Stegostoma tigrinum: one gene and its partners. Each later gene encodes a partner of the first gene's protein in a complex. Links are inferred from orthologs where the notes say so. Each region holds a gene or a part of one and is shown in the gene's direction. Other genes may lie near its edges. The genes, in order: bud13, snrnp40 and rbmx2.

Evidence for each region.
Region 2: bud13 (region 1) and snrnp40 share a complex: the UniProt entries of both Homo sapiens proteins name them as parts of the minor spliceosome. The link is inferred for Stegostoma tigrinum from reciprocal best matches to the Homo sapiens genes BUD13 and SNRNP40.
Region 3: bud13 (region 1) and rbmx2 share a complex: the UniProt entries of both Homo sapiens proteins name them as parts of the activated spliceosome. The link is inferred for Stegostoma tigrinum from reciprocal best matches to the Homo sapiens genes BUD13 and RBMX2.

The regions. Positions count from the first base shown.
Region 1 is NC_081385.1:597,169-606,950, reverse strand, and holds the start of bud13 (BUD13 homolog), read left to right. Parts: upstream 1-5,393; 5' UTR 5,394-5,520; coding exon 5,521-5,627; intron 5,628-5,686; exon of another isoform or gene 5,687-6,143; intron 6,144-6,620; exon of another isoform or gene 6,621-6,621; coding exon 6,622-6,727; intron 6,728-8,054; exon of another isoform or gene 8,055-8,067; coding exon 8,068-8,152; intron 8,153-8,783; coding exon 8,784-8,838; intron 8,839-9,782. UniProt on the Homo sapiens protein: Involved in pre-mRNA splicing as component of the activated spliceosome. As a component of the minor spliceosome, involved in the splicing of U12-type introns in pre-mRNAs.
Region 2 is NC_081377.1:34,182,564-34,192,345, reverse strand, and holds the start of snrnp40 (U5 small nuclear ribonucleoprotein 40 kDa protein), read left to right. Parts: upstream 1-4,830; 5' UTR 4,831-4,908; coding exon 4,909-5,001; intron 5,002-9,782. UniProt on the Homo sapiens protein: Required for pre-mRNA splicing as component of the activated spliceosome. Component of the U5 small nuclear ribonucleoprotein (snRNP) complex and the U4/U6-U5 tri-snRNP complex, building blocks of the spliceosome.
Region 3 is NC_081368.1:47,500,485-47,510,266, forward strand, and holds the start of rbmx2 (RNA-binding motif protein, X-linked 2), read left to right. Parts: upstream 1-3,609; 5' UTR 3,610-3,809; coding exon 3,810-3,814; intron 3,815-9,782. UniProt on the Homo sapiens protein: Involved in pre-mRNA splicing as component of the activated spliceosome. As a component of the minor spliceosome, involved in the splicing of U12-type introns in pre-mRNAs.

The DNA.
Region 1 (9,782 bases):
GTGGGGGGGTGGTGGGGGAGTGTGGGGGGGTGGTGGGGGAGTGTGGGGGGGTGGTGGGGGAGTGTGGGGGAGTGTGGGGGGGTGGTGGGGGAGTGTGGGGGGGTGTTGGGGGAGTTTGGGGGAGTGTGGGGGGGTGTTGGGGGAGTGTGGGGGGGTGGTGGGGGGATGGGGGGTGTTGGGGGAGTGTGGGGGGGTGTTGGGGGAGTGTGGGGGGGTGTTGGGGGAGTGTGGGGGGGTGTTGGGGGAGTGTGGGGGGATGGGGGGTGTTGGGGGAGAGTGGGGGGGTGGTGGGGGGATGGGGGTGTTGGGGGAGTGTTAGGGGAGTGTGGGGGGATGGGGGGATGGGGGGGTGCGGCAGGGGATGGGGGGGTGCGGCAGGGGGTGGGGGGGTTGAGGGGTGGTGGAGAAGGGGGGGGTTGAAGAAGCGGGGTGGAGGGGGGGTTGAGGGGTGGGGGAGGGGGGGTTGAGGGGTGGTGGAGAGGGGGGGTGAGGGGTGGTGGAGAGGGGGGATGGAAGGGTGGTGGTGGCGAGGGGGGGGTTGAGGGGTGGGGGTGGTGGAAGGGTGGTGGAGAGGGGGGGTTGAGGGGTGGTGGTGGAGGGGGGGGGTTGAGGGGTGGTGGAGAGGAGGGTTGAGGAGGGTTGGGGGGGTTGAGGGGTGGGGGAGAGGGGGGGTTGAGGGGTGTGGGTGGGGGTCAGGGTGATGGGCTGGATGGGGGTGGTGGGGGTGGGGATGTGAGGGGGGATGGGGGGGTGAGGGGTGGGGATGTGAGGGGTGAGGGGTGGGGATGTGAGGGGGGATGGGGATGTGAGGGGGGATGGGGATGTGAGGGGGGATGGGGGGGTGAGGGGTGGGGATGGGGGGGTGAGGGGTGGGGATGTGAGGGGTGAGGGGTGGGGATGTGAGGGGTGAGGGGTGGGGATGTGAGGGGTGGGGATGTGAGGGGTGAGGGGTGAGGGGTGGGGATGTGAGGGGTGGGGATGTGAGGGGGGGGGATGGGGATGTGAGGGGGGGGATGGGGATGTGAGGGGGGGTGAGGGGGGGTGAGGGGGGAGGGGGGGTGAGGGGGGATGGGGGGTGAGGGGTGGGGATGTGAGGGGGGGTGGGGATGTGAGGGGGGGTGGGGATGTGAGGGGGGATGGGGGGGTGAGGGGTGGGGATGTGAGGGGTGAGGGGTGGGGATGTGAGGGGTGAGGGGTGGGGATGTGAGGGGTGGGGATGTGAGGGGTGAGGGGTGGGGATGTGAGGGGTGGGGATGTGAGGGGTGAGGGGTGGGGATGTGAGGGGTGAGGGGTGGGGATGTGAGGGGTGAGGGGTGAGGGGTGGGGATGTGAGGGGTGAGGGGTGGGGATGTGAGGGGTGAGGGGTGAGGGGTGGGGGGGTGAGGGGTGAGGGGTGGGGGGGTGAGGGGTGAGGGGTGAGGGGTGGGGGGGTGAGGGGTGAGGGGTGGGGGGGTGAGGGGTGGGGATGTGAGGGGTGAGGGGTGGGGATGTGAGGGGGGATGTGAGGGGGGATGGGGGGGTGAGGGGTGGGGATGTGAGGGGGGGTGGGGATGTGAGGGGGGGTGGGGATGTGAGGGGGGATGGGGGGGTGAGGGGTGGGGATGTGAGGGGGGGTGGGGATGTGAGGGGGGGATGGGGGGGTGAGGGGTGGGGATGTGAGGGGTGAGGGGTGAGGGATGGGGATGTGAGGGGGGATGGGGATGTGAGGGGGGATGGGGATGTGAGGGGGGATGGGGGGGTGAGGGATGGGGGGGTGAGGGGTGGGGATGTGAGGGGGGGTGAGGGGTGGGGATGTGAGGGGGGGTGAGGGGTGGGGATGTGAGGGGGGGTGGGGATGTGAGGGGGGATGGGGATGTGAGGGGGGATGGGGGGATGGGGGGGTGAGGGGGGGTGGGGATGTGAGGGGGGATGGGGGGGTGAGGGGGGGTGGGGATGTGAGGGGGGATGGGGGGGTGAGGGGGGGTGGGGATGTGAGGGGGGATGAGGGGGTGAGGGGTGGGGATGTGAGGGGGGATGGGGGGGTGAGGGGTGGGGATGTGAGGGGGGGTGGGGATGTGAGGGGGGATGGGGATGTGAGGGGGGATGGGGGGATGGGGGGGTGAGGGGGGGTGGGGGGGTGAGGGGGGGTGGGGATGTGAGGGGGGATGGGGGGATGGGGGGGTGAGGGGGGGTGGGGATGTGAGGGGGGATGGGGAGGTGAGGGGGGGTGGGGATGTGAGGGGGGATGGGGGGGTGAGGGGGGATGGGGGGATGGGGGGGTGAGGGGGGATGGGGGGATGGGGGGGTGAGGGGGGATGGGGGGTGAGGGGGGATGGGGGGGTGAGGGGTGGGGATGTGTGGGGGGGTGAGGGGTGGGGATGGGGAGGTGAGGGGTGGGGATGGGGATGTGAGGGGGGGGTGGGGATGTGAGGGGGGATGGGGGGGTGAGGGGTGGGGATGTGAGGGGTGAGGGGTGGGGATGTGAGGGGTGAGGGGTGGGGATGTGAGGGGGGATGGGGGGGGTGAGGGGTGGGGATGCGAGGGGGGGTGGGGATGCGAGGGGGGGTGGGGATGCGAGGGGGGGTGGGGATGTGAGGGGGGGTGGGGATGTGAGGGGGGGTGGGGGGGTGGGGGGGTGAGGGGTGGGGATGTGAGGGGGGGTGGGGGGGTGAGGGGTGGGGATGTGAGGGGGGATGGGGGGGTGAGGGGTGGGGATGTGATGGGGGGTGGGGATGTGAGGGGGGATGGGGGGGTGAGGGGTGGGGATGTGAGGGGGGATGTGAGGGGGGATGGGGGGGTGAGGGGTGGGGATGTGAGAGGGGTGGGGATGTGAGGGGGGTGGGGATGTGAGGGGGGGTGGGGATGTGAGGGGGGTGGGGATGTGAGGGGGGGTGGGGATGTGAGGGGGGATGGGGGGGTGAGGGGTGGGGATGGGGGGGGTGAGGGGTGGGGATGGGGGGGGTGAGGGGTGGGGATGGGGGGGGTGAGGGGTGGGGATGTGGGGGGTGAGGGGTGGGGATGAGGGGGGTGGGGATGTGAGGGGGGGTGGGGATGTGAGGGGGGGTGGGGGGGTGAGGGGTGGGGGGGTGAGGGGTGGGGATGTGGGGGGTGAGGGGTGGGGATGTGAGGGGTGAGGGGTGGGGATGTGAGGGGTGAGGGGTGGGGATGTGAGGGGGGATGTGAGGGGTGAGGGGTGAGGGGTGAGGGGTGAGGGGTGGGGATGTGAGGGGTGAGGGGTGGGGATGTGAGGGGTGAGGGGTGGGGAAGTGAGGGGGGATGGGGGGGTGAGGGGTGGGGATGTGAGGGGGGGTGGGGATGTGAGGGGGGATGGGGGGGTGAGGTGTGGGGATGTGAGGGGGGATGGGGGGGTGAGGGGTGGGGATGTGAGGGGGGGTGGGGATGTGAGGGGTGGGGATGTGAGGGGGGGTGGGGATGTGAGGGGGGGTGGGGATGTGAGGGGGGATGGGGGGGTGAGGGGTGGGGATGTGAGGGGGGGTGGGGGGGTGAGGGGTGGGGATGTGAGGGGGGGTGGGGGGGTGAGGTGTGGGGATGTGAGTGGGGATGTGAGGGGGGATGGGGGGGTGAGGGGTGGGGATGTGAGGGGTGAGGGGTGGGGATGTGAGGGGTGAGGGGTGGGGATGTGAGGGGGGGTGAGGGGGGGGGATGGGGGGGTGAGGGGTGGGGATGGGGGGGTGAGGGGGGGGATGGGGGGGTCAGGGGTGGGGATGGGGGGGTCAGGGGTGGGGATGTGAGGGGGGGTGAGGGGGGATGGGGGGGTGAGGGGTGGGGATGGGGGGGTGAGGGGGGATGGGGGGGTGAGGGGTGGGGATGGGGGGGTGAGGGGGGATGGGGGGGTGAGGGGTGGGGATGGGGGGGTGAGGGGGGATGGGGGGGTGAGGGGTGGGGATGTGAGGGGGGGTGGGGATGTGAGGGGGGGTGGGATGTGAGGGGGAGGGGGGATGGGGGGGTGAGGGGTGGGGATGTGAGGGGGGATGGGGGCTGAGGGGTGGGGATGTGAGGGGTGGGGATGTGAGGGGTGGGGATGTGAGGGGGGATGGGGGGGTGAGGGGTGGGGATGTGGGGGTGAGGGGTGGGGATGTGAGGGGTGAGGGGTGGGGATGTGAGGGGGGATTGGGGGGGTGAGGGGTGGGGATGTGAGGGGGGGTGGGGATGTGAGGGGGGATGGGGGGGTGAGGGGTGGGGATTGAGGGGGATGGGGGGGTGAGGGGTGGGGATGTGAGGGGGGTGGGGATGTGAGGGGGGATGGGGGGGTGAGGGGGGATGGGGGGGTGAGGGGGGATGGGGGGGTGAGGGGTGGGGATGTGAGGGGGGGTGGGGATGTGAGGGGGGATGGGGGGGTGGGGATGTGAGGGGGGTGGGGATGTGAGGGGGGATGGGGGGATGGGGGGTGAGGGGTGGGGATGTGAGGGGTGAGGGGTGGGGATGTGAGGGGTGAGGGGTGGGGATGTGAGGGGGGAATGGGGGGTGAGGGGTGGGGATGTGAGGGGGGGTGGGGATGTGAGGGGGGGTGGGATGTGAGGGGGGGGTGGGGATGTGAGGGGGATGGGGATGTGAGGGGGATGGGGATGTGAGGGGGGATGGGGGGTGAGGGGGGATGGGGGGTGAGGGGGGATGGGGGGGTGAGGGGGGATGGGGATGTGAGGGGGGGTGGGGATGTGAGGGGGGATGGGGGGTCGAGGGGTGGGGATGTGAGGGTGGGATGTGAGGGTGAGGGGTGGGATGTGAGGGGGGATGGGGGGGTGAGGGTGGGATGTGCAGGGGTGAGGGGTGGGGATGTGAGGGGGGATGGGGGGGTGAGGGGTGGGGATGTGAGGGTGAGGGGTGGGGATGTGAGGGGTGAGGGGTGGGATGTGAGGGGAGGGGGGGAGTGGGAGGGGTGGGGGTGGGATGTGAGGGGTGAGGGGTGGGATGTGAGGGGGGATGGGGGGGTGAGGGGTGGGGATGTGAGGGGGGATGGGGGGGTGAGGGGTGGGGGGGTGAGGGGTGGGGATGTGAGGGGGGGGTGGGGATGTGAGGGGGGGTGGGGGGGTGAGGGGGTGAGGGGGGATGGGGGGGTGAGGGGTGGGGGGGTGAGGGGTGGGGATGTGAGGGGTGAGGGGTGGGGATGTGAGGGGTGAGGGGTGGGGATTGTGAGGGGGGATGGGGGGGTGAGGGGTGGGGATGTGAGGGGGGGTGGGGGTTTGAGGGGTGGGGATGTGAGGGGGGATGGGGGGTGAGGGGTGGGGATGTGAGGGGGGGTGGGGATGTGAGGGGGGGTGGGGGTTTGAGGGGTGATGGGCTGGATGTGGGGGGGGATGGGGGGGGGTGACCATCCTGTCCGCGAGACATCGGCTTGAGGCACCAAGATGGCGGCGCGAGGCGGGCGGGTTTCCCGCCGGGGGCCGGGGGCCGGGGGCCGGGGGCCGGGCCGGTCGAGCGGGGCCGGTGAGTGAAGACCGCTCGGTGCCGGCGGAAGCAGCGCCAGCGGAGTCCGGGTAGGAAGGAGCCGGGCCGGTAGCGCCGGGAGAGGGAGGGGATCCCATGGCCGGCCTGAGTAAGGAGGAATACCTGAAGCGGTACCTGAGCGGCTCGGAGCCGGGCCCCAAGCGGACCAGGAGGAGGCGGAGGGTGAAGATTAAAGGCGGAGGGTGAGGCCCGCGCAGGGAGCAGCGTAAGCGGCCAGCCCGACGTGGAAAGGCCTGAGGCCTGATGGTTTCCTGCGGGTGAGGCCGCCCTCCCGCACGCCTCAGGCGGCAGGAGCCGGGTCTGAACCTCATTCGCACCAAACACCAAACTATCAGTAAAATTATCACCGGATCACCCGGGACCTCGTTATAGCCGAGCTCCTGATAGGCGCTAGAGAAATTCATAATTCAACACTTTGCTGTGGCCTCATCGTTGTAGAATTACATTGTAGCTTTGGAGTAATTCCGTTGTCGTGTTTTAAGTTAGTTTTCACAAGGGAACGGTTTCTTGCTTTTAATGGGCAGTTGTTCATTATGTGACAGAGTTAAATATTGTTCACTTTTTCTTGAGGTTTATTAATAACATGCCTCACAGAAAGAGGCCATTCGCCCATTGCCCCAGTGCTGGATCTTTAAAGAAGTTATCCCGTCACCTCTCTCCTCAATGTTGTAATGTTTAACCTCGATCTGTTTTATAAAGTAAGTTTCACCTGTGGTAATGGCTATAATTTGTGTTAACAAGGTGTGGAGCTGGATGAACACAACAAGCCAAGCAGCATCAGAGGGGCAGGGAGGCTGAGGGAGGCCTAGGCCTGAAACATCACCTTTCCTGCTCCTCTGATACAGTTCCTTCTCTCTTAGTGTAATTTGTGTTCCTCTGGTTTCTGGATCTCTTGCCACTAGAAGCTTTCTCGTTATTTACTGCTCTATCTAAACACCCCTTTACCATCCTTACTCTTAGAGTGGAGGACCCCAGTGTCCTCAGCCTCTTCGTGCAATTGAAATTTCTTATCCACGATGCAGTTCTCCAATGCCCTCTCATTTTTGTAATCTGTGGTGTTGTCAGCTTTCCCTTTTTATCATGTGAAGTGTTACTTTACTCTGTATCTGTTTTAGATCAGGGATGCTGTTGAGTCTAGTTCTGTCAGTTGAAAGCCTCTGTCCTGTTATATTACAGAATGCGGATTGTGGATGATGATGTGACCTGGAAGACCCTTGCGAAGGAGAAGGAGAAAGAGGCTGTATTAGAGGCAGCAGAGGATGAGGATGATGAAGCCCCTGTGGTAGGTGAAATAGCTATTCTCAGGACTGACTGATTCTAAGATTTGTCAGCAAATAACTAATTAAGACTTCAACACTGTGACTACTGTTACTGCTGCTGAAGATACCCCAGTATCAACAAGACATTTTAATTGAACTGCCAAAACCCCACAAGAAGGTTGTTAAGTGATTTGGAAAGGAGAAAATTCAGAGCTAGAGAAGGTTTCCAGCCCATCTGACCAGTCTCTAAAGCTAATCCCAGTCTTCCTAATGCTTGTTGAACATTCGCTTATAAACAAATCGATAAGTTCCACATGAGAGCAGAAGAGTCAGAAGTGATGGGAGAATTTCTTTTAGTGCAGAAAGTTGTTCTAGTTTCAACTGGGTGGTGGAAACAGATTTAAAAGTAACTTTTCATTGGGAATTTCATAAATACTCAAAGTGGAAGGTTTTACAGGATGATGAGGGAAAGAACAAGGATGTGGGACAAATTAGCTAAGTTTTTAATACACCCAATACGGGTAAAAGGAGATAAATCCTCCTACCTGTACTCTAAGATTCTGTGAGAGACTGCTGTGGAAAGTGTCTTGCTGTGTATTTGGAAATGACTGACCTTATGGCTGAGTTTGAATGCTTTGTCCAGAGTGTGTTCATTAGGGACAATGTAGCGGGAGCATCACTCTGTTTCTAATTCCATTCCGTACCTATCCTGGGGTTTTTTGGTAGGTACAGTGAAGAGGGAGCCTTAGTCTCTGAACTTGCCCATATACAGTTCAATGTGATAGATGAGGGGCGGCACGGTGGCTCAGTGTAAGCATTGCAGCCTCACAGCGCCAGGGACCCGGGTTCGATTCCAGCCTCGAGCGACTGTCTGTATGGAGTTTGCGCATTCTCCCCGTGTCTGTGTGGGTTTCCTCTGGGTGCTCCGGTTTTCTCCCACAGTCCAAAGATTTTCAGGTTAGGTGGATTGGCCATGCTAAATTGCCCGTAATGTTCAGGGGTGTGTGGGTTATAGGGGGATGGGTCTGGGTGGGATGCTGCAAGGGGCTGTGTGGACTTGTTGGGCCAAAGGGCCTGTTTCCAGACTGTAGGGAATCTAATCTAATCATGACAGTGAATATTTAAAATGATCATTGTTTATATTCACTACATCATGCTGTACTTTAAACTGCTTGGGTCCAAACTTCGTACCTAATTTTTATGATGAGGCTTTTGGTCAATTGACCTAATGTCTTGTGTCAGGGTTTATTTGATCACCATTCCTGAGAATGATTTAGGGCTGTTTTACTCTATGACAAGGCTATGTAAATGCAGATTGTTGTTGTATTATACTTTTGTGTTGATCTCCAGCCTGTTGCTTTAGGTGGCAGAGTTCATTGATGAAAGGCCTGAAATCATTCAACAAATGGAGGAATTCCGCCTGAGCAATAAGTGGAAAATTTTAGGAGGTAAGTCGTGAGGCGTCTTTTTTAAAAAGACTCATTTCATTCTGTGCAGTGAATTTGTGTTGGCCGCTGTGTTATAAATACATTAATTGGATGCAAGCATCATTGGCTGGGCTAGCATTGTCGTTCATCTGAAGTTTCCCTGACAAGCTGGTAGTGAGCTGCCCCTTTGAATTGCTGAAGTGGCTTGACATATTTACTGTCTCACTGGGCTACTTTAAAAGGCAGTTCAGGTTTAATACAGCACTGGTTGCTGAATAGTGCTTAGGAACGGGAACCCAATAAGGACACTGAAGTGAGCTGCAGTCTTGATGCTGTTAACACAGCACTGCTTCTGCAGCTGGAAGCTTTAACTCTGTGTGGGTCACTAACATGTTTTAGCGTTGCTTCAGCATTGCATCTCCTCTGCTCCACATAGTTAGAGAAATTTGTTGTGCCTGTTCTCGCTGGAATGAATTTAGTCTCCTTCAGTGATAACTAAATCAGTAGCTGAAACCAGTCCTTTCCGCTACACACGAGAAAAAGATGGAAGCTACATCCCAATCCAACTCTTTTAACAATCCTTTATTTAAAATAAAACACGGGAAAGTCATTGTTGTTGCATTCATCATTAGTTTTTTGACTTTTTATTAAGATGAAAAGGAAGATTCCCAAGATCCCGATGTGTTCCTACACACAAGTCGAGATGGGTGAGTGCATATAACTGTGGCTATGTTGTTAATATGCTCACTGTCATCTGTGTGAAGGAATTTGGTTACAGATGTTGCAAAGCTGACGTTGTCCCCCATCTGAGAGCTAAATCCGAAACATCCAAAGAGGAGCACCTTGCCTTATAATCTGTAAAAGGAGTATGAAAAGTGGTATGACTTGCTTTTCAGCAGTTTCTAGTGGTTAAAGAAAATAAATTCCTGACACTCACTTTAAGGTCAACAACTAACAATTTATTTATCTAACTCGAAAAGTGAACAAATTAACTAAACTATTAACAAACTGAATAAATCTCTTCTAACTACTAACAATTACCAAATAAAGTAAGATTCTAATGGTATGCTTTCCAATAAATAAAAGTCCTACTTGTATATAAAAAAAAGTCTCTCAAAATTACAGCCAGGTTACGTGTCTTCCAGAATGTTCTGTGCCTTCACCATAGATTCATCTGTCAGGAATATTAACTAGTTGTGCCATGGCTACCGTTGTTATTTAGATGGTGCTTTCTCTAAGACATGGAGGAGGCTATGAGAGCCAGCAATTTTCTTGAGAGCTGAGGGCTCCTAACTAAGGCAGATGGCACTTAGCTCAGGAGCTTTGTCCAACTGCCCTTTTATTTTATATCCTTGATAACTTATCAATATTTCTTACAGTAGAATTGGTCCTATGTTGTCAAAACCATCAGATTTAAAATTAGAGATAATGGGAACTGCAGATTCTGGAGAACCCAAGATAACAAAGTGTGGAGCTGGATGAACACAGCAGGCCAAGCAGCATCTTAGGAGCACAAAAGCTGACATTTCAGGCCTAGACCCTTCATCAGAGAGGGTCTCTGATGAAGGGTCTGGGCCCGAAACGTCAGCTTTTGTATTTCTGAGATTTAAAATTAATTGGTTTTTGGTATCTAAGTGCCTGGTTCAAATTG
Region 2 (9,782 bases), on another chromosome or scaffold:
CGAGACCAGGTAAGAAAAGCAGATTTCCTTCCTTAAGCGATATTAAGGTACCAGATGGAGTTTTAAAATTAGGATTGAAAAATTGGAGTTTACCTCACCTATTGGTCTGCTACCAGCTGAATTCCACCTCACTTTGCGTGATAATAATTAAGGCACCTCCTAAGGAATCTCTAAGAGTCTGGCACCACAGTACAAATCTGATTTAGCAAAGCCTTTGTCGTGAAACAGTTAATTTGTGTATTAAGTACGTACATTGTGTCAAATGTTTTGGTGTTTTTAAAGAAGTTCCTTCTTCCTGAAAAATCCAGGCCATTCTCCTGCACGTTGTTATGTATCCAGTAAAATCATGGAATGTAAGTTATGAGTGATTCATTAGGCTACATATTATTAACTTCAAAAATTACAGTTCTATTGAAAATAATAGTTTATTTATAAGGATTACTATAAGCTAACTGCCACCAATTTCTGGCAAATCGTTCCCTGAAACAAAAGGCATTCATTATTAATCGTCCTGCATCCCAACTGATGGTGTGAATGTAACAGTTCAGCTTAACACCACTCATGGTTGGCAGAACAGTACTATAGATCAAACAGTTACTTCAGCCGGTTGGAATCAGCATTTCTGAGGGAAAAAGAATTGTGCTTGCTGACAATGTGAATGTCTGTATGTTTATAATTTACCAGCATGATCCTCTTTGTGTCAATTCTTGATGTGTTTGTAGGTGACTGGAAAATGGGAGAGTAAACTGTAACGGTTCACATATCATTCTCAGGCATGAAGGAACATAACTATACAACGCTACAGTCTCAGATCTGTGACTTTAAAGTAACAATGTATGACATTTGCAAATAATGCCCGCCATTATTTTGAATCAACAACAATGTACGTTTAAATACAAAAGCAAAGTACAACAGATGCTGGAAATCAAAATAAATGCGAGAAATTTACAACTGATTTGGTAGAATTTGTGTAGAGATGTTGCATCACTAATTCATGAAAGATCTTTGACCTGAAACATTAAATCTCTTTCTCTTTCCACATATGCTGCCAGACCTACTGAGTCTTTCCAGCAATTTCCATATTTATGTAGTGTCTCTAGTATAACTACAACCCCCCCCAACCCCCACCAAAGGTGTTTCACAGTTACACAATGCGGGGGAAAATGCCAAACTAGTGAGAGAGACATTGGGCGACAGCATACGAATGTTACCACAGAAAATGCATCAGCTTTCAAACTCATTACTTTTGTAAATGCAATGTCCATCTGTGGTAATTGCACATGTGCAGCTGAACACGGAAATCCAGAAGTTGCTCAGTAATTCTCTGCTTCCGCATAGTCCACTGTACCCTACCTCTTTGCTGAAAGCATGTTGTGATAACTGAAATAATTGATCACAAATGTTCAACCTTTAGAAATTGTTATATCCCTTGACAAAGGTGCCAAAAATTAAGACCCATTATTCCCAGAGTTGTCACAAAAGCTAGAGATTTTATAAAAATAGGCAAAAAACCCTAATTTATCTGTCTTTTAGACCGTCCTCTTTTCTTTTCTCTTCTCCTGTTTCTTTCTCTATCTTACATTTTCCTTACTTACCTCTTAAGCTCGGATGGCATCAGCAGTAGACCTTGTGAACCTCGAAAAAGCCCAGTAGGGAAGAGTGTAGGCCCAGCATGAAGGATAGTAAGCCCAGCAGGGAAGAATGTAGGCCCAGCATGAAGGACAGCAAGCCCAGCGGGGAAGAACATAGGCCCAGTGTGATGGACTGTAAGCCCAGCAGGGAAGAATATAGGCCCAGTGTGATGGACTGTAAGCCCAGCACCGAACAGTATAGGCCCAGTGTGAAGGATAGTAAGCCCAGTGGGAAAGAGTATAGGCCCTGTGTGATGGACAGTAAGCCCAGCAGGGAAGAGTATGAGCCCAGTGCGAGGGATAGTAAGCCCAGCAGGGAAGAATATAGGCCCAGTGTGACAGACAGTAAGCCCAGCACTGAAGAGTATAGGCCCAGTGTGAAGGACTGTAAGCCCAGCGGGGTAGAATATAGGCCCAGTGTGACGGACAGTAAGCCCAGCACTGAAGAGTATAGGCCCAGTGTGAAGGATAGTAAGCCCAGCGGGGTAGAATATAGGCCCAGTGTGAAGGATAGTAAGCCCAGCACTGAAGAGTATAGGCCCCCCACAGGCTGTTCAGCTACCTGAGAGCTAATAGCATGGTTGTCGGCAGACAGAATTGCCCAGGAGGGACACTGCAGACTGACAGTTATGCCAAATTGCAAACTCTGATCTGGAAATAAAACTGTTACACCAATGCAGTAAAACTACCGGTTAACCAATCATTAGAAATTACAGGGAAATCTGAATAACTATTACCATGTTTGTTCACACTGTTAATCTAGACTATACCTTCCAATAGTGGTATAAAGGTGGAGGCTAAAATTGCTGAAAAAGTCCTCAAAGTACATATCTTTAAAAATGCAGTTCCAGTCTACATGGAAGAAACTTTCAAGTGAACAGATGGTATTCCTTTATATATGTATATTTTGAAAATGAGCAATGAAAGGTGTGCAGCCCATTAGTTGAGGCTATATTGTGAATGTGCATGAATATTGTACAATGTACATGAAGAAAAAAAGTGTTGCATCTGCAAATCACGTCATCAGCAGAATGAGTGCTTCATATTAGAATCCCTACAGTGTGGAAACAGGCTCTTTGGCCCAACAACGGTCCATGCTGACCGTCAGAGCACCCATCCAAAGCCATCCCCCTCCTAATGTACAAACCCCTGAACATTATGGACAATTTAGCATGACCAATCCACCTAGCCTGCACATCTTTGGACTGTGGGAGGAAACCAGCGCACCCAGAGGATGCTAACACAGGTAGAACGTGCAAACTCCACACAGACAGTTGCCTGAGGATGGAATTGAACCAAGGTCCCTAGAGCTGCAAGGCAGCAGTACTAACCGCTGTGCCACCATTTACTAGTGGTAACCGTAAGGGAAACAAATGCATACTATGTGTGGGGGCACACTGACTCAGTGTTTAGCACTGCTGCCTTACAGCAACATGGACCCAAGTTCAATTCCAGTCTCGGGCAACTGCCTGTATGGAGTTTGCACATTCTTGAACAACTGCAGTCCATGTGATTTAGGTACATAGGAAGGGAGTTCCGGGATTTTGATCCAGCAACAATGAAGTAGTGGCACGTATACTTCCAAGTTATGATGGTGTGCAGCCCAGGGGAGAATTTGCAATGGTGGTGTCCCCCAGCTGCTAAAAATCATGTTTATTTTAAAATTGCAATGAGCATATAAACTAATTCTCAGGTTGTTCTAAATTTTGGTAATCCTTAATTGGAACCATCTAAGCCAAAACCCTCACTCAGGATTATTTCTGCAGCCTGACAATCTTATATGTTTGGAATGAGAAGATTCAGCCCTTCTTCTGTTAACCAAATCAAAATGCTCCAAAAAAATTTGGCTCCATTTTAGCCTTAAGCATCCAAAAACAGTTTAACAAGGGGGTGGGGAGAAAGAACATTCAAACCAGGCATGTCTCAATGAAACAAAGGCTGATATCTTTAATAGGGTTTAGTTTACAATGAGACTGAAAGTATATGAGTTTGTGTCCTCATTAGTTCATAACATTTCAAACTGATAGCAGTAATTTCAGCAGAAGTGGTAACCCAGCAGCACACCCGATGGGGAAATTAAGAATTACAACAATAATTTACAGATTTCTGTGAAATTCTGCACACAACGACTCCAGAAATTGCCCTCAGTTTCAGTGTAGTCATATCTGTTGAGTACAAACTTGTGAATATTTTTCAATATGCCTGACAGCAAAGAGTTAGCTCCTGATCAGCAAAACTGTAGAAAGTGACAGCAGACAATTGCGGTACTCCGACAAGCATCATCATGGGCCAACATAAATCAAAATATACATTAACGTGTTCTCCAGTCCTCTTAGGGCACAGCAGCTGAAGAGAAGAAAGAGAATGCCTCTGAATACAGAAACTATCAATGACGCCTGTGTACACAAGCAGGTTTCTCTGCGAACACAGGCAGTTACACTGTGTGGGGGCTATATTTCTAGGCTATAAATGTGCAAGGACACCGCCACGTTGCATTGGAAGACCAGGCGGAGAGACAGAGCCCTTTCGCCCTCGACCGAACACACGCTGTGGTGGAGCTGCAGTCTCGGTGCACTGATATTTTCAAAGCAGTGGGGTGGGGGCTCCTGCCGGAGTTGCTGATGAGCCTGCAGTACGTAAAAATGAAAAGGACTGCGGATACTGGAAATCTGGAACAAAAACATAAACTGCCGGAGTAACTCCACACGCCTGAAAGCTTCTATGGGGAAGAGGTGCTGATGAAGTGTCAGTGGGCCCGAAGCGCCAACTCTGCTTTCTCTCTCCTCAGAAACAGCCAGACCCGCTGAGTTCCTCCAGCAATTTGTTTCTGTTTCAGCCAACTCGTGTCCTGTACCTACATATCACACTTTATAGATACCATTTACAAACTAATTCTCACATTAAACCATTGGATAAGTCATACCGAAAATCAAAATAATGAAGCAAATGAATAAACCCCACACCTCAGAAGCCATGCCATCTTGGAGCTTCGACAGGTAGCCAATTGCGAGGAGCCTTACTCAGCCTGGACTGAGTGACATCGCCCTGAGCAAATCGGTTAGCGGATCTCCATGGGTCGCGCCCCCTCAGTGGTAATGGACACCGGGGGTAGCGAATAGAAGACGCGATAAGGAGGGGCTAAGCCGGACGGCTGAGTAATGAGGGGCCGTGTTATTGAGAGGTGGGTGCGAGGGGGGGGGGTCAGATCGTTTAGCTGAAGGCGCTCAGTTTGGGAGAGGGACTTGCCGTCGGGAGTTCGGAGACATCGACGAGGACGATGATCGATCAGAAACGCAAGGCGCAGGAAATGGCGCTGATTCCGACCAAGCGGCCGAGGAACGAGGCGGTCCCAGGGGTTCCGCAGCAGGCGGTGAGGCCCGGGACGGAGGGAGAGAGAGAAAGGGAAAAAAAAAAGCAGGCAGGCCACTCACACTCACTCCCACTAGCGATCAGAGAAGGCTGTTCGGCCCATTCTGTCAGTGCTGGCTCTCTGGAGGAGAGCCATTCCCTTCAACGTCTCCCCATAGCCCTGATGTAGACTGAGGGATAAACCTCAACCAGGGCACTGAGGATAACCCGAGATAGTGAGGTGTGGAGCTGGATGAACATAGCAAGCCGAGCAGGACAGCTGCCGTTTCGGGCCTAGACCCTCCTGTTCATTTTTAAAACATTGTGAAGGGATCTTTTACATCCACCTGAGCAGGGAGATGAGGTTTTGGTTTAATATTTTTACCCGCACTTCCCAGAGTGGTGTACTCCCTCATTTATCCCATTTAACTTTAATAACAAAACTGAAAATAACTAGTCAGTCAGTGATAAACAGGATGCCTGTAATTGACACCCAATCAATGAATTGGTCTTAAAAACAAAAGAACTGCAGATGCTGTAAATCGGGAACAAAAACAAAGTTGTTGGAAAAGCTCTGCAGGTCCAGCAGCATCTGTGAAGTAAAAATCAGAGTTAACATTTTGGGTCCAGTGACCCTTCCTCAGAACTGATTAACTCTGATTTTTTTAACTTAGTAAATGCTGTCAGACCCAATGAATTTGTCAGTTGAGTACACCATGGTAGATTTGTAGTGTCCCTGCCTCTGGGCTAGATGCCCCAGGTTCAGATCTTACCTGCTCCAGAGGTGTGATATGACATGTCTGAGCGGTTGATTAAAATATATTTAGAAGTACTATAGGTTCCCCCAATAGTCAGTGGGAAACTGGAAAAAAAAGAGTTCTCAGACATCTGTAAGAATAATAATGTTGTCATGGTAGGAGCTTTTAACTTTCCAAACATAGACTGGGACTGCCATGGTGTTAAGAACTTGGAGAGGAACTTTGTGTGTACAAGTAAATTTTCTTATTCCGTATGTGGATGTACCTGCTTGACAAGCAGTAACACCTCATCTTCTCTTGGGAAGTAGGATCGGTGACTGAGGTTCCAGTGATCATAATTCGGTTAGTTTTAAAATAATTATGGAAAAGAATAGGCATGATCTTAAAGTTAAAATTCTAAACTAGAGTAGGCCAATTATTAGGTATTAGCCAGGAACTTTCAAAAGTTGATAGGGAAAGGCGAGCCATAAGTAAAGGATAGTTGGAAAATGGGAGTCTTTCAAAATGTGATAACGAGTTTAAAGACAGTATGTTCCTGTTAGTGCGAAGGGCAAAGCTGGTAAATGTAGGGAATGCTGGCTGACTAGAGAAATTGAGTTTTTGGTCAAGAAAACTAAAGAGAGATATGTCAGGTATAGACAGCAGGGATTGAGTGAATCCCGAGGGGAGTTTAAGGGCTGTAGGAGTATACCTAAGAGGGAAGTCAGGAAGGCAAAAAGGGAACAGGAATGAGCTTTGGCAAATAGGGTTAAGGAGAATCCAAAGAGGTTCTAAAAATGTATTAAGGGCAAAAGGGTAACTAGGGAGAGAATCAGGCATTTTAAAGATCAATGTGTCCATCTATATGTGGAACCACAGGAGATGAATGAGATACTCAGAGTATTTTGCATCAGTATTCACTGTGGAGAAGGACATAAAAGCTAGAGAAGTTGGGGAAATAAATAGTGATATTTTAAAGTGTCCATATCATAGAGGTGGTGTTGGATGTCCTAAAACACACAAATGTGAATAAATCCTGATCAGGTGTATTCTAGAACATTAGGAACCTGGGGAAGAGATTGCTGGGATCCTTACTGAGATATTTGTATCACTGATAGCCACAAGTGAGGTGCCAGAATACTGGAGGCTGGCTAATGTGGTGCCATTATTTAAGAAGGATGCGATAGTGAAGCCAGAGAACTATAGACCAGTGAGCCTGATATCAGTGGTGGGCAACTTGTTAGAGGGGATTCTGTGGGAAAGGGTTTACATGCATTTGGAAAAGCAAGGACTAATTAGGGACGGTCAACATGGCTTTGTGCATGGGAAATGGTGTTTCATAATTTGATGGGTTTTTTTGAAGAAGTGACAAAGAAGATTGAAGACAGAGTGGGGGACCTTGCCTACATAGACTTCAACAAAGTCCCACAGGCAGACTGGTTAGCAAGGTTAAATCACGTGGAATCCAGAGGGAGCTTACCAATTGGATACAAAATTGGCTTGAAGATAGCAGACAGAGAGTAGTGTTGCAGGGTTGTTTATCCAACTGGAGGCCTGTGACCAGTGCTGTGCCGTAAGGAATGGTGCTGGGTCCACTGCTTTTTGATACTTACATAAACGATTTGGATGTAAATATCGGAGATATTGTTAGTAAATGTGCAGATCCCACTAACATTGGAGGTGTAGTGGGCAATGAAGAAGGTTATCTCAGAATACAATGGGACCTTGATTAGATAGGCCAATGGGCAGAGGAGTCACAGGAGGAGTTTAGTTTAGATAAATATGACGTGTTGCATTTTGGGAAGGCAAATCTGAACAGAACTTGTAGAGTTAATGATAGGGCCCTCGGGAGTGACGGCAAACAAAAAGACGTAGAGGTGTTGGTGCATATTTCCTTTGAAAATGGAGTCACCAGTAGACAGGGTGGTGAAGAAGGCGTTTGGCACATTTTTCCTTCATTGGTCAGTGCGTTGAATATAGGTGTTGGAACGTCACGTTGCAGCTGTACAGGACATTGATGAGGCCACTTTTAGAATACTGCATTAAATTCTGGTCTCCCTGCTGTAGGAAATATGTTAAGTTTGAAAGCGTTCAGAAGAGGTTAACAAAGATGTCAGGATAGGAAGAGCCTGGGGCTTTTCTCCCGAGGGCATCAGATGCTGAAGGGTGGCCTTAGAGAGGTTTGTACAATCATGAGGCATAGGGTGAATTGACAAGGCCTTTTTCCTAGGGAAGGGGAGTCCACACCTAGAGAACTTAGGTTTAAGGTGAGAGGGGAAGGATTTAAGAGATCTAAGGGGCACCTTTTCATGCAGAGAGTGGTGCATGTATGCAACAAACTGCCAGATGAAGTGGTGGAGGTGGGTGCAATTACAACATTTAAAAATCATCAAGATGGATGCACAATTAGGAGAAGCTTAGAGTGATATGAGACAACTGCTGGCCAATGGACTAGATTAGCTTAGGACACACAATCGGCACAGACGAGTTGGACTGAACAGTCTGTTTCTGTACTGTATGACTCCATGGCCGTATAACTAGTTAACAGTTCCTGTCTCAGGTTTTTGGAATTGCAGCTGGTATAAATGCAGTGGATTTTGCTTATGTCCAGGATAAGCTGGGCGAAGATTGCTTTGCCAGAGTACTGCTAGACAGAGTACTTCCATTAACTTGGGATTTGATGAGCGAAGGAGTTTTAGGATCATTGTTTGAAGCCGACTTGTGAAGAACTGGTTATTTGGTTACCAGCAGATTTGAAATGAATAGTCAAAAGAGATAATGGGAACTGCCGATGCTGGAGAATCCAAGATAACAAAGTGTGGAGCTGGATGAACACAGCAGGCCAAGCAGCATCTTAGGAGCACAAAAGCTGACGTTTCGGGCCTAGACCCTTCATCAGAAAAGGGGGGTGGGGAGAGGATTCTGAAATAAATAGGGAGAGTGGGGGAGGCAGACCGAAGATGGATGGTGGAGAAGATAAGTGGAGAGGAGAGTATAGGTGGGGAAGTAGGGAGGGGATAGGTCAGTCCGGGGAGAACAGACAGGTCAAGGGGGTAGAATGAGGTTAGTAGGTCGAAAATGGAGGTGCATCTTGAGGTGGGAGGAGGGGATGGGTAAGAGGAAGAACAGGTTAGGGAGGCAGGGACGAGCTGGGCTGGTTTTGGGATACAGTGGGGGAGGGGAAAGGGAGATTTTGAAACTTGTGAAATCCACATTGATGCCATTGGGCTGCAAGGTTCCCCAGCGGGAATGAGTTGCTGTTCCTGAAACCTTCAGGTGGCATCATTATGGCAATGCAGGAGGCCCAGGATGGACATGTCATCTAAGGAATGGGAGGGGGGAGTTAAAATGGTTCGTGACTGGGAGGTGCATTCGTTTATTGCGAACTGAGCGTAGGTGTTCTGCAAAGCGGTCCCCAAGCCTCTGCTTGGTTTCCCCAATGTAGAGGAAGCACTCTGACATCTGGAAGTCTTGGGTTTAAGTTCCACTCCAGAAACCTGAACTTATTATCTAAATAATGCTTCAGTGCAGCACTAAGCAGATTCTGCGTTCATCAGCGGTTTATCTTTTTCGATGATACATTAAATCAGGTCCCATATGTCCATGTAGGTGAATGTTTTGAAGATGAGTCAGAGAGTTCCTGGTGGATTTTTTTTAACCCCTTGACCTCAAACCCATGTTATCAGATTATTAACTAGTTACTATTGGGAAACTTGCTTCACGTAAGTTTCCTGCCATCTGTCCCTACAATATAGCAGTGGCTGCACCTCAAAACTGCAACTGGCCCGAAGACTCCTGGTGCATCAGTGTGGCACATGAGAACAACAAACTGGAACAACTTTGTCCTAATGCTCTAACTTGCGCTCTAGCTGAAGCGGCTTAATTTGGGATGCCAGACAAGTATGAGTCCCAGTCAAGGCTGTAACGTAATGATTGCTGGGTTCTGCAGGGTAAACTCTGGTTTTGAAATTTGACACCCTAATGTGAATTAGATCAGCAACGTACGTGTATTGGCTCAAGTTTGTCTAATGTGTACAGCAATTTCATTGGGGCGTTTGGATTTGAG
Region 3 (9,782 bases), on another chromosome or scaffold:
TCTGCAGTTCCCATTATCACAAAGTTTTAAGAGCTGGTTTCTTATCCTCCACAAACAAGAGAATACTCAGGTTCTAAATTCATCAACAACAAAGAAATCTCGGCAACCAAAAGGCAATATGATAGGCTGGGAGACATTCAACCAGATTTACCTTGTAACAAGTTTGAAAGGATAAGACTACTTTTCATACTTAAGTTCTATCAGACATTTTGAAGAAATCAAAGAAACTCTGGGCATCATAGTGGTTCAGTGTCAATATTCATATGCCTTCACAGCAAAATATAACACCCACTAGCCTTTCTAGATATTAACTTTCAACATTCTTTGTGAAGAAGAAAATCACCTATTTCTTCAAGTTGGCATAAACTTGTAAAGTCAGAGACTTGATGGGAGAAGAAATAGTAGTAAACTTGATGTGCTTATTTAAACAATAATATACCGGGTTTAATAAGGAGGGAAAAACTGGGAGGGAGATATCATATATGATTATTGGCATGAAAAGTTTAACCTTCAAAAATTTGTATCGCTCCACCCACCAGGATCTCAGTAATTGTCTCTGTGAAGAGCAAGTCAGTTCTTGTTGAAGAGGCAGGGACGAGCCGGGCTGGTTTTGGGATGCATTGGGGGAAGGGGAGATTTTGAAGCTGTTGAAATCCACATTGATACCATTAGGCTGCAGAGTTCCCAAACGGCATATGAATTGCTGTTCCTCTTAGGAGATATCTATGTCTCTTACCACATCTAATTTGATTAACCAGCCGCTGCTGTAATAAAGGATGTATTTCATCATCTAAAAATGTTGTTCTAATGGAAGTATATTTTGAGAGTCAATATTTTCTTATAGTTTTGGGTATAAGATAAAAGTTTTTTCCAGAAAGAACCGGCACTGTTCTCTCAGTATGTAATAAACTATTTCTTGTCATTCTTGTCTGCCAAAGATTTATTGGTGGTTAACCCTTAACCATTTAATATTATTGAGTCCTGTGGTCTAGTATTACAAGCAGGGTTATATCTACCCAAAGACATTCTTAGCAGAACTAGGTCCCAGTTGAGGGCAGCCCTTACAAGAGGAAAGGGAAGGAAAGATTTACTTGTTGGTGGTGTTACGTGGGAGGTGGAGAAATTAGCAGTGGTAGAAACATAGGAAAAGGAGTAGCTTATTAAAGCTCTTGGTCAGAGGGCAAGTGGGAAAATAGAAGTGTTGACACCTCCTGTTAACCACAGTTACAGTGGGTGGGGATGAGGGGAGAGAGGAGATGGTTGGAGTGAAGAAGAAATAGAAAGACATATCAGAACCTGAAAGCTTTCCATCTTGTTAATTTCGCAACCTTCTCATTATCCTCATGGTTTTATCTCATTGACATCAGGGAATTTTAGATAACAAGAGACAACATTGTGCTGGGTGTTATAACCAGAAGGCATATTTAAATCTTCAATCACTTTACTAACAAGAGAGGTAGGTGATTGCTGAGCTGTTGGTGAATGCCTATTTTTTATTTAATCAGTCAGCTCAATATCTGATTTAAAAAAAACAGACTTAACAGGGTGGCTCAGACCTGTGGAGTGTCCACAATTCTTGAATCCAAGATAACCAGATGTGCAAGACTGAATTCAGTGGCAGCAGCAGCTGAAACTGCATGTTTTCAAGTGTGAACAGCAGCAGGTATTACTGCAGGATTGAGGGGTTTATGTGTAGTACATTTATAGATGTGGTCACTCTGCAATCTTAAGGTATGCAAGCAGAGAAGGAATGGATAACTGTCAGATAGTGAAGATTATCCAAGGAGGCAGTTCAATTTGGGCAAACTCTCTCTATTTTGAATGTTATATGAATGATGGTTCCTTTGGTGTGTCCAGCCAGCTTCTAGTCCTTGCTACCAAGCTTACTCAACACGACAGGAGAAGCAGGAAGAATATTGGAAAAGCATTAGACATCAGGGATTCAATAGCTATTGGAACATACAGAATTTTTTTCTGGCTGCAGACAAGAGTGCAAGATAAATTGCCTCTTCAGCACCAAGATCAAGGGTATCACTAAATGGCTACAAAACACTCTGAACGTGCTGGACAAATAGCCAGCTCTTATGGCTACTATCAGTATTAAGGATGTAAGTAAGAAAGAAGGATGATGTCCTCCAGAATGGATTAGGGATCTTAGAAAGAAGCCAGCTAGCAGGAGCTCAATGGTAGTAATTTGCAAATTATTCCCAGTAACATAAACTATTGTTTAGGAGTTTACGGGTTATGGTTGCCTGAAGCGTGCTTGCTGGGATGGTTCAGGAAGAAGGGCTTTGGATATCTGACACTTTGGGACTGGTTCTTGCGAGGTGTGACCTGTGCACCTTAACAGAGTCAGGACCAATGTCCTTACAGGCCTATTTGCTACTGCTGCTGCTGGGGACGATTTAAACCATTTGGGCAGAGGTGTGGGAACCAGGAGGTGACATAAAAGAGGAAGATCAAAATATATAGAGGATTAGGAGAGACAAATAGCATTAGAGTGAAAAATGGTGTTAGTTTGGGTGTGGGTGAGAGAAAATGTGCTAATGTCTAAACTATATTTACTTTTAAGAATGTATTAGAACATGCTAAATAAGACAGGTGAGCTCCAGTTGCAGGTAGCCACATGGAAATATGATGTTTTAGTGATAACAAGAGGTCTGGCATAATAAAAGGCAGAGTGTGGTATTAATAATCCCCAATACGAGGCATTCAGGAAAAAGAGGGAAGGAAAGATAGATCGAGGAATAGTTGTACTGATTAAGGAGAACATCGTAGTGTCAAAAGAGGGAGAGGATCTCCTAAAGTGTTCAGGACAGAAACTATTTTGTTAGCGCTAACAAACAATAGTAATACCAAATAAAAACTGGAAGAACTGCGGATGCTGTAAATCAGAAACAAAAACAAATTTGCTGGAAAAGCTCAGCAGGTTTGACAACATCTGTGAAGGGAAAAACAGAGTTAACATTTCAAGTCCGGTGACCCTTCCTCAGAACGCTGCCAGACTTGCTGAGCTTTTCCAGCAGCTTTTGTTTTAGTACCACTACATTGTTGGATGTATTCTATCAGACACTAAAGTGAAAAATATAGAGAACAAATTTGCATCAAAATTACAGAGATGTAGAACAATGAAGCAAGAGGACTAGAGAATTGCAAAAGTTATTGTTCAAGAAACAGTACAAGAATTGCAACTACAGGAATGTCTCTTTAAATATTTTAATCAGCCTGTTCAGAAATATCATGACACACCTCTGTTTACTACGTGCAACTTAAAACATTGAGCTCCTGGCCCCAGTAGGGGCACGAGCACCACACCGCAAGAGCTCAATCCAGTCATTTTAATCTTGGTGATGACAAAACTTTCAGACATGACAAGGTTACGGCTCACTGGGACAACTGAAAGTTAATTAAGGAAAACCAGCTTGGATGTGTTAAAAATGTCTGTTTCTTTCACTATCCCCAATGACAGACAACCTCATCCTCGCATGTACTGGGATTAAAATTCTCCGAAGGTTGATGACCTTTTGTCAGAACAAATGACAATTATGCATTTCCAATACAGTGGATTAATCAGATTTTATAATTTGCATTTATCTGCATTTGTTCAAGTAGCCAAATTGCGTATTGTTTTCCGACATTGAGAATTCAAGCGAAATCTCGATCACAGCGTGTGATTGGTGGCGTGCGTCAGTAGGTGGTGGTGTGTGCGGAGTTCTCCACTTTCCTGTTGCGGTCCTTCTTGCTCCTCTCCTTCCGCCCTTATCCGGGATGAGGAGCTGCTGTGGTAAAATTTGGGACTTTACTGCGAAATGAAGTGAGTAGGCGATTAAATTGATGTAGTTGCTGGTTTAACAAACAGCATCACTAAAGGGAGGAAATTACCTGTCCGGTATGGACAGGTAAGAGGTTTCTCTGAGTTACTTCAAGGTGGTAAAGGATCAGTGGCAGGATTTTTTATTTAAAATGTCCACCGTTCCTGAAAGAAAGGAACCTGCTTTCAGCACCAACTCTTAGTTCTTGGGAATTATTTAAGTAAAACACTAAAGACGGTTAATGACAGTGGTTTGATCGGAATAAAATGTGGCCAGAAGTATCTGAGTTGTTTGCCAACTGAAGTTTCAACGTGAAACGAATCAGTCGTTAATAAAACCGTGGAAAGGTTAATAACTTGGCATGACCATAAATGTGAATGAAATGGTAGCTGCTGCTTTGTCAGTCACTGTATTTTTGTCCTTTGCATCACCCCGTGCCTTGACATTTTTCTTTCAACAATCTCCCAAAAGCCTTTCTGTCTCCTTATGTTTCCAGTTTCCCTTCCCATTCCCATTATCATTTCCTGTAGCCTGTGAAGCAGTTTCATGGATTTTCACAGTATTTGAGGAGCATAATAAAAATGCGGGTTATTGAACTAGGATTCAGCTCGTCTGGCCAGCAAAACAACACTCTGCACTGATTTAGAGGGCCTTTGGAACATTTTCAAGATGAATTACTGAGCTTGGGAGAAGTGGTGAACAAAATAAAAGAGACAACCGTAAACCCAGTGGTGAAAACCGTGAGCTTCTTCAAACTAGGCATTTGTGGAAGGGAAGTGACTGTAAACTAAAATGAAAGCAAATGTGTAGAAATTCAAAATAGCTCTAGAAAATGCTGGAAACAGTTCTGTCCTACCATTTAATATGCGAGTGAAAAGTAGCCTCAACTCTGTTCAAGACTTCTTTTATTTTGAAACGAATACAGTTTGCACCCAAATCAGATGATCTTGCCTCTCATTAGATCAACTGGACAAAGTCTATTGCAAATGACACTTATGTAAGTGCATGTAGTCTGGGAAAGACTGAGTAGTCATCTGCACTCAACCCAACAATGTTACAAATACCAGCTTGGCCAAATATCCACTTGAGGATAATATATTTAAGTTATTTAATTTAATTTAATTTAATTTAATTTATTGCTGGAAAAACTCAGCAAGTTTGGCAGCATCTGTGGAGAGAAGAATTTCAGTTCTGAGGAAGTGTCACTGGCCCCAAAACATTAACTTTGATTTCTCTCCACAGATTCTGCCAGATGTGCTGAGTTTATCCAGCAGTTTCTGTTTCTGATTTTGATTTCCAGCATCTGCAGTTTTTTTTCATTTTTTTTATTATTGTTTGCAGAATCAGAATGTAAGCTATGGAAATTTCCTCTGATAGAATATGTTGTTTTCTTTTCAATACATGTAAAATGCTTTTCTTATTAATTCATGGGATGAGGGAATCGCTGGCAAGGTCAGCATTTACTACCAAGCATCAGTTGCCCTGTAGAAAATGGCAGTGAACCTTCAACTACTGTGCTCCTTGGTGTTTCCTCTGGCCCATCCTTGTGCTGATGAGATATCTATTCGGGATTTTGACCAATGACAATGAATAGCTCATATCCAAATCAGAATTTTGTGTGTTTTGAAAGAGAACTTGTGGGTGGTAGTGTTCCCATGCATTTTCTGCCCTTTTTCTTCTAGATTATAGAAATCAAGGGTTTGGAAGGTAGAGTCTAAGCAGTTTGGCAAGTTGTTGCAAATGCAAATTGTAAATGGTACGCATTGCTGTAATTATATGTCGCTGGTAAAAGCAGTGAATGTTGAAGGTGTTAGATGCGGTCGCAGTCAAACAGGCAGTATTTGGACAGAGGCTGCTTTAGTATTGGAGGAGTTGCAAATGGTGCAGAAATTGTGCAGTCATCAGTGAAGGATCTCACTTCTGACATTTACAATGGAGAGAATGTTGTTGAAGATGGTCGGGTCTGGGACACTACCCTGAGTAACTCCCGTGTCTCAGTTGATTGACTCCAACAACACAACCACCTTCCTGTGTGCTAAACAGCAGGGAGTTACCCTCTCCCCCTCCAATTCTGATGAACTCCAGTTTACTGTGGCTCCTTAATGCCATACACAGTCAAATGCTGCTTTGATATAGAGGTAATCACCCTTACTGCCCCTCTGGAGTTCAGCTGTTTTGACTTAATTTATAATGAGGTCAGGAACAGAGTGGTCTGTTAGAACCCAAGCTGAGAGTCTAGTAAACAAATTGTTGTTGAGTAAGTACTGCTTGAAATCACAGGTGGTGATGGTGCTTTCTGTATTTTCGTTAGAGGATAGACTGATGGGATGGAATTGTTGAGTGGGATCTGTCCTGCTTATTGTGGATAGGATGTAATCAGGAAATTATACATATTGCTGGATAGATCCCAATGTTGTAGCTGCAGTGTACGAGCTTAGCTAGGGTTGCTGCTAGTTCTGAAGCGTAAGTCATCAGTGGTATTGCTCGAATGTTGTCCAGACCGATTACCTTTGCAGAGTCCAGTGACCAGTTTTTATTTGCCATTATGTGGAATAAATTGAACTGGATGTAGCTGGAACCTGTGATGCTGGGGACCTCAGGAAGAAGCTAAGATAGAGCATCCACTAGACACTTTTGGCTGAAACTGTAGGAAAATGCTTAAGCCTTCACATTGACCTGCTGGGTTCCCAATCATTGAGATAGAGATCTTTGTGGAGCCGCCGCCTCCAGTGAATTGTTACATAGTCCACCACCATTCACAACTGGATGCAGCGGACTGTAGAGCTTAGATCTTAAGATGGATGCCTTTGTCATTGTTCCACAGTCTAGTTAAACAACTGCCTGATTCTCAGTTTGAGCTCCAACAGGATTACTCAGCTGCTGACCTCAAAAGTGTTCTGAGATAGGGTCACCAAACCCAAAACGTTAACTCTGATTTTTTTCTTCACAAATGCTGTCAGACCTACTGAGCTTTTCCAGCAACTTCTGTTTTTGTTCCTGATCTACAGCATCGACAGTTCTTTCAACCTTAATACGAGGTTGGTCCAAACACGGACAAAAGAGTTGAGGTGAGGTAAAAATGACTGCCCTTGACATAAACACAGCATTTGACCAAGTAGGGCTTTAAGGAGCCTTGGAAAACCTGGAATCGGTAGGAATAAGATGGCATTTGTTTGCTGATTACAGTTATACCCAGGAAAAAGAAAGATGGTCATGGTTGTTAGACAGCGAACATCACAGCCCTAGGGCATTTTTGCAGGAACTCCTAATGCTAGATATTTTCTAATCAACGTGTTCAGAAATGTTATTATGTATTTCTCTGGAGCAGGTGGGACTTGAATTCCTGAGGATAAATATTTTAATCACCCTGTTTAGGCATGTTATTATGTACTTTGGGAGCAGGCAGGACTTGAACCCAGGCCTTCTGATCTAGCGGCAGGGTCACTTCCACTGCAGCCCAAGAGCTACCAAAGAGCATAAAGGTCTTTCTTCCTTTCTAAATATTTTTAATCAGTCCAGAGATATCCCTGGAGCAGGCGGGACTTGCACCTGGAACTCCTGGTTCAGAGATAAGGGTAGTACCACTGCACCACAAGAGCCCTAATTCCTGAGAATGGTGTCTGAGATCCAATGATTTTTCAGCTGTTTCATCAATAATCTTTGCTCCATCACAAGGTCAGAGCTGGGGATATGCACTGATGTGCAATCATCAGTGCTCCACTGTCCAGCATCTTTCACCATATCTCGGATACCGAAGTGTCCATATGCAGCAAGATATTAACAATATCCAGGGATGGACAGATAAGTGGTAAGTGATGACCACTTCACACAAATGTAGGGTAATGACCATCTTCCGCAAGAGAGGATCCAATTTTCAATGGAATTATCTCTAAGTGCCAACTATCAATACCCTGGAGTCACCTTTTACCAGAAAGTAAAACAGGCCCGCCAGTAAATACTGTGGCCACAAGAGTGGGTCAGAGGCTAGGAATTATGCAGAGAATATGATGACATACTCTCCAGTTGTCTTTTTGAGTTTGTATCAACAACAAAATGCTTGACATCAGACAGTATGAAACAGCATGCATCATTGGCATTCCATTCATCACCATCAACATTTACTGCTGTCATTTACTGCTTGCACAATGGCAGTAGTATCGACCATCGAGAGGAAGCGCTGAAGTAACTCATCAAGTTTCCTCTGAGAGCATCGTCCAAATCGGCAACTTCTATCACCTAGAACGACTAGGTTAGTAAATTCATGGGACCCCTGTCAACTGCAAGTTTCCCTCCAAACCACACAATATCCTTATTTGGAAATGTAATGCCATTGCTTCACCGTTACAGGGTCACAAGCCTGGAATCTACTTCCTAACAGAACTGTAATATGCCTACAACCTTACTAGTTTATGAAATAATGTAGGGATAGGCATTAAATAATGGCCAGTCAGCAATGTGCACACTCCACTTGAGTAAAAAATAAATCTCCTCACTACATTCCTAGGCCAATTGGGAATAGGCAATAAATGCTGTCCTTACCAGCAATGCCACACCCCATGAACAAATAAAAGGAATGCGTGAGTTTTTTTAATCAAATTTTATAGAAGTTCGATACAACTTGCTTGGTTGTTTCAGAGAGCGTTTGAGTGCCCATTATATTGCTGTGGATCTGGAATCGATATAGTTTAGAATGGAGGAAGATGGCAGATTTTCCTTCCCTAAAGGTCTATTGTGAACCAGATGGATTTTCAAGACCGTTGGCAATAGTATATGGACAGCATTTGAATATTTTTTTTCTTCCAGACTTTTTCACTTACTTCAAATTTCATCTGCCAAAGTGAAATTTGAACCCATATCCTCAGAGCATATGGGTTAGTCTGTGCCAACCGATTACTGCACAACCACCTCCCCTCATAAGGAGTTAAATAAAATTTGGCTTCGTGTCCGGGGAAAGGACATGTATCTTCTGAGATCTCATGAGCAGTGAGTGAGTACAAGCAGCTGATTCTGTGATCCTTGATCATACCTCTTTACCATCACAAGGTGAAAGCAATGCGATGTTTATAGGAAACTGAAAATCTGTAATCAGGTGGCTCCAGAATGCTGCCTTGCCTGCATCTTCCCTTAGCTTTAGGGCTTTCTTGTTTGCAAACAGGTAGCAAAAAGCCAGTCCTTCACTGCATGAGGGAGTGGGTATCATCTGTAGATGTTTCAAAGTTGATCCCGTATCTATGGGTAAGGTCACTAAGGCTCAAATTACTGTTGAAGGATGAAACCATTTGTGCATCCTTGAGTAAGGAGATGATGCCAGTACTAGAGATGTTCTGGCAACAATTAAATTGTTAAAAGTAGGTTAGGCAAATTCACTCTAAGTTGGATATAGAGAAGCATTTGAATGAAATTAACAGCTGTGCTGAAGCCTGCATGGATTTCTAGAAGGTATTATCCAAGTCTTGTAATGTAATAAAATTGGAATTTTTTTTTCCACTCGAATGGCTTTGATGAGCTACTTTAACTCTGGACCAGCTTTTAGGTTGCAATTTTTACTATTAAAGCGCTTGTCATTTGGCTTTTGTGAGTTATCAAGTAATGGCCCATTTAATGTGACCAGAAAACAATATTAAAAGGCTTTTGTGGTGCAGTGGTAGTGTCCCTATCTCCAGCCAAAAGGCCCATCTGCTCCAGAATTGTGTCATAATATATCTGAACAGGTTCATTAAAGTATCTATAATAATATGCTGAGATATTTCATTGCGAGACTAAGAACAGGAACAAACAAGCCTGTCCAGTCAATTTTGAGGAAACATTTTTGTTGAAGGCATATAGTGTGATATGAGGTAAGGAAAAGATTAATAAAACAAGAATCAGGATTTGACAAGCGGTGTTGTAAGCTGGGTCTCCCGTAGAGTTAAGCAAAAGCTGGAACGGTTGGTGGATCTGACTGTGTGCAGAATAGATTGTGATTACTAA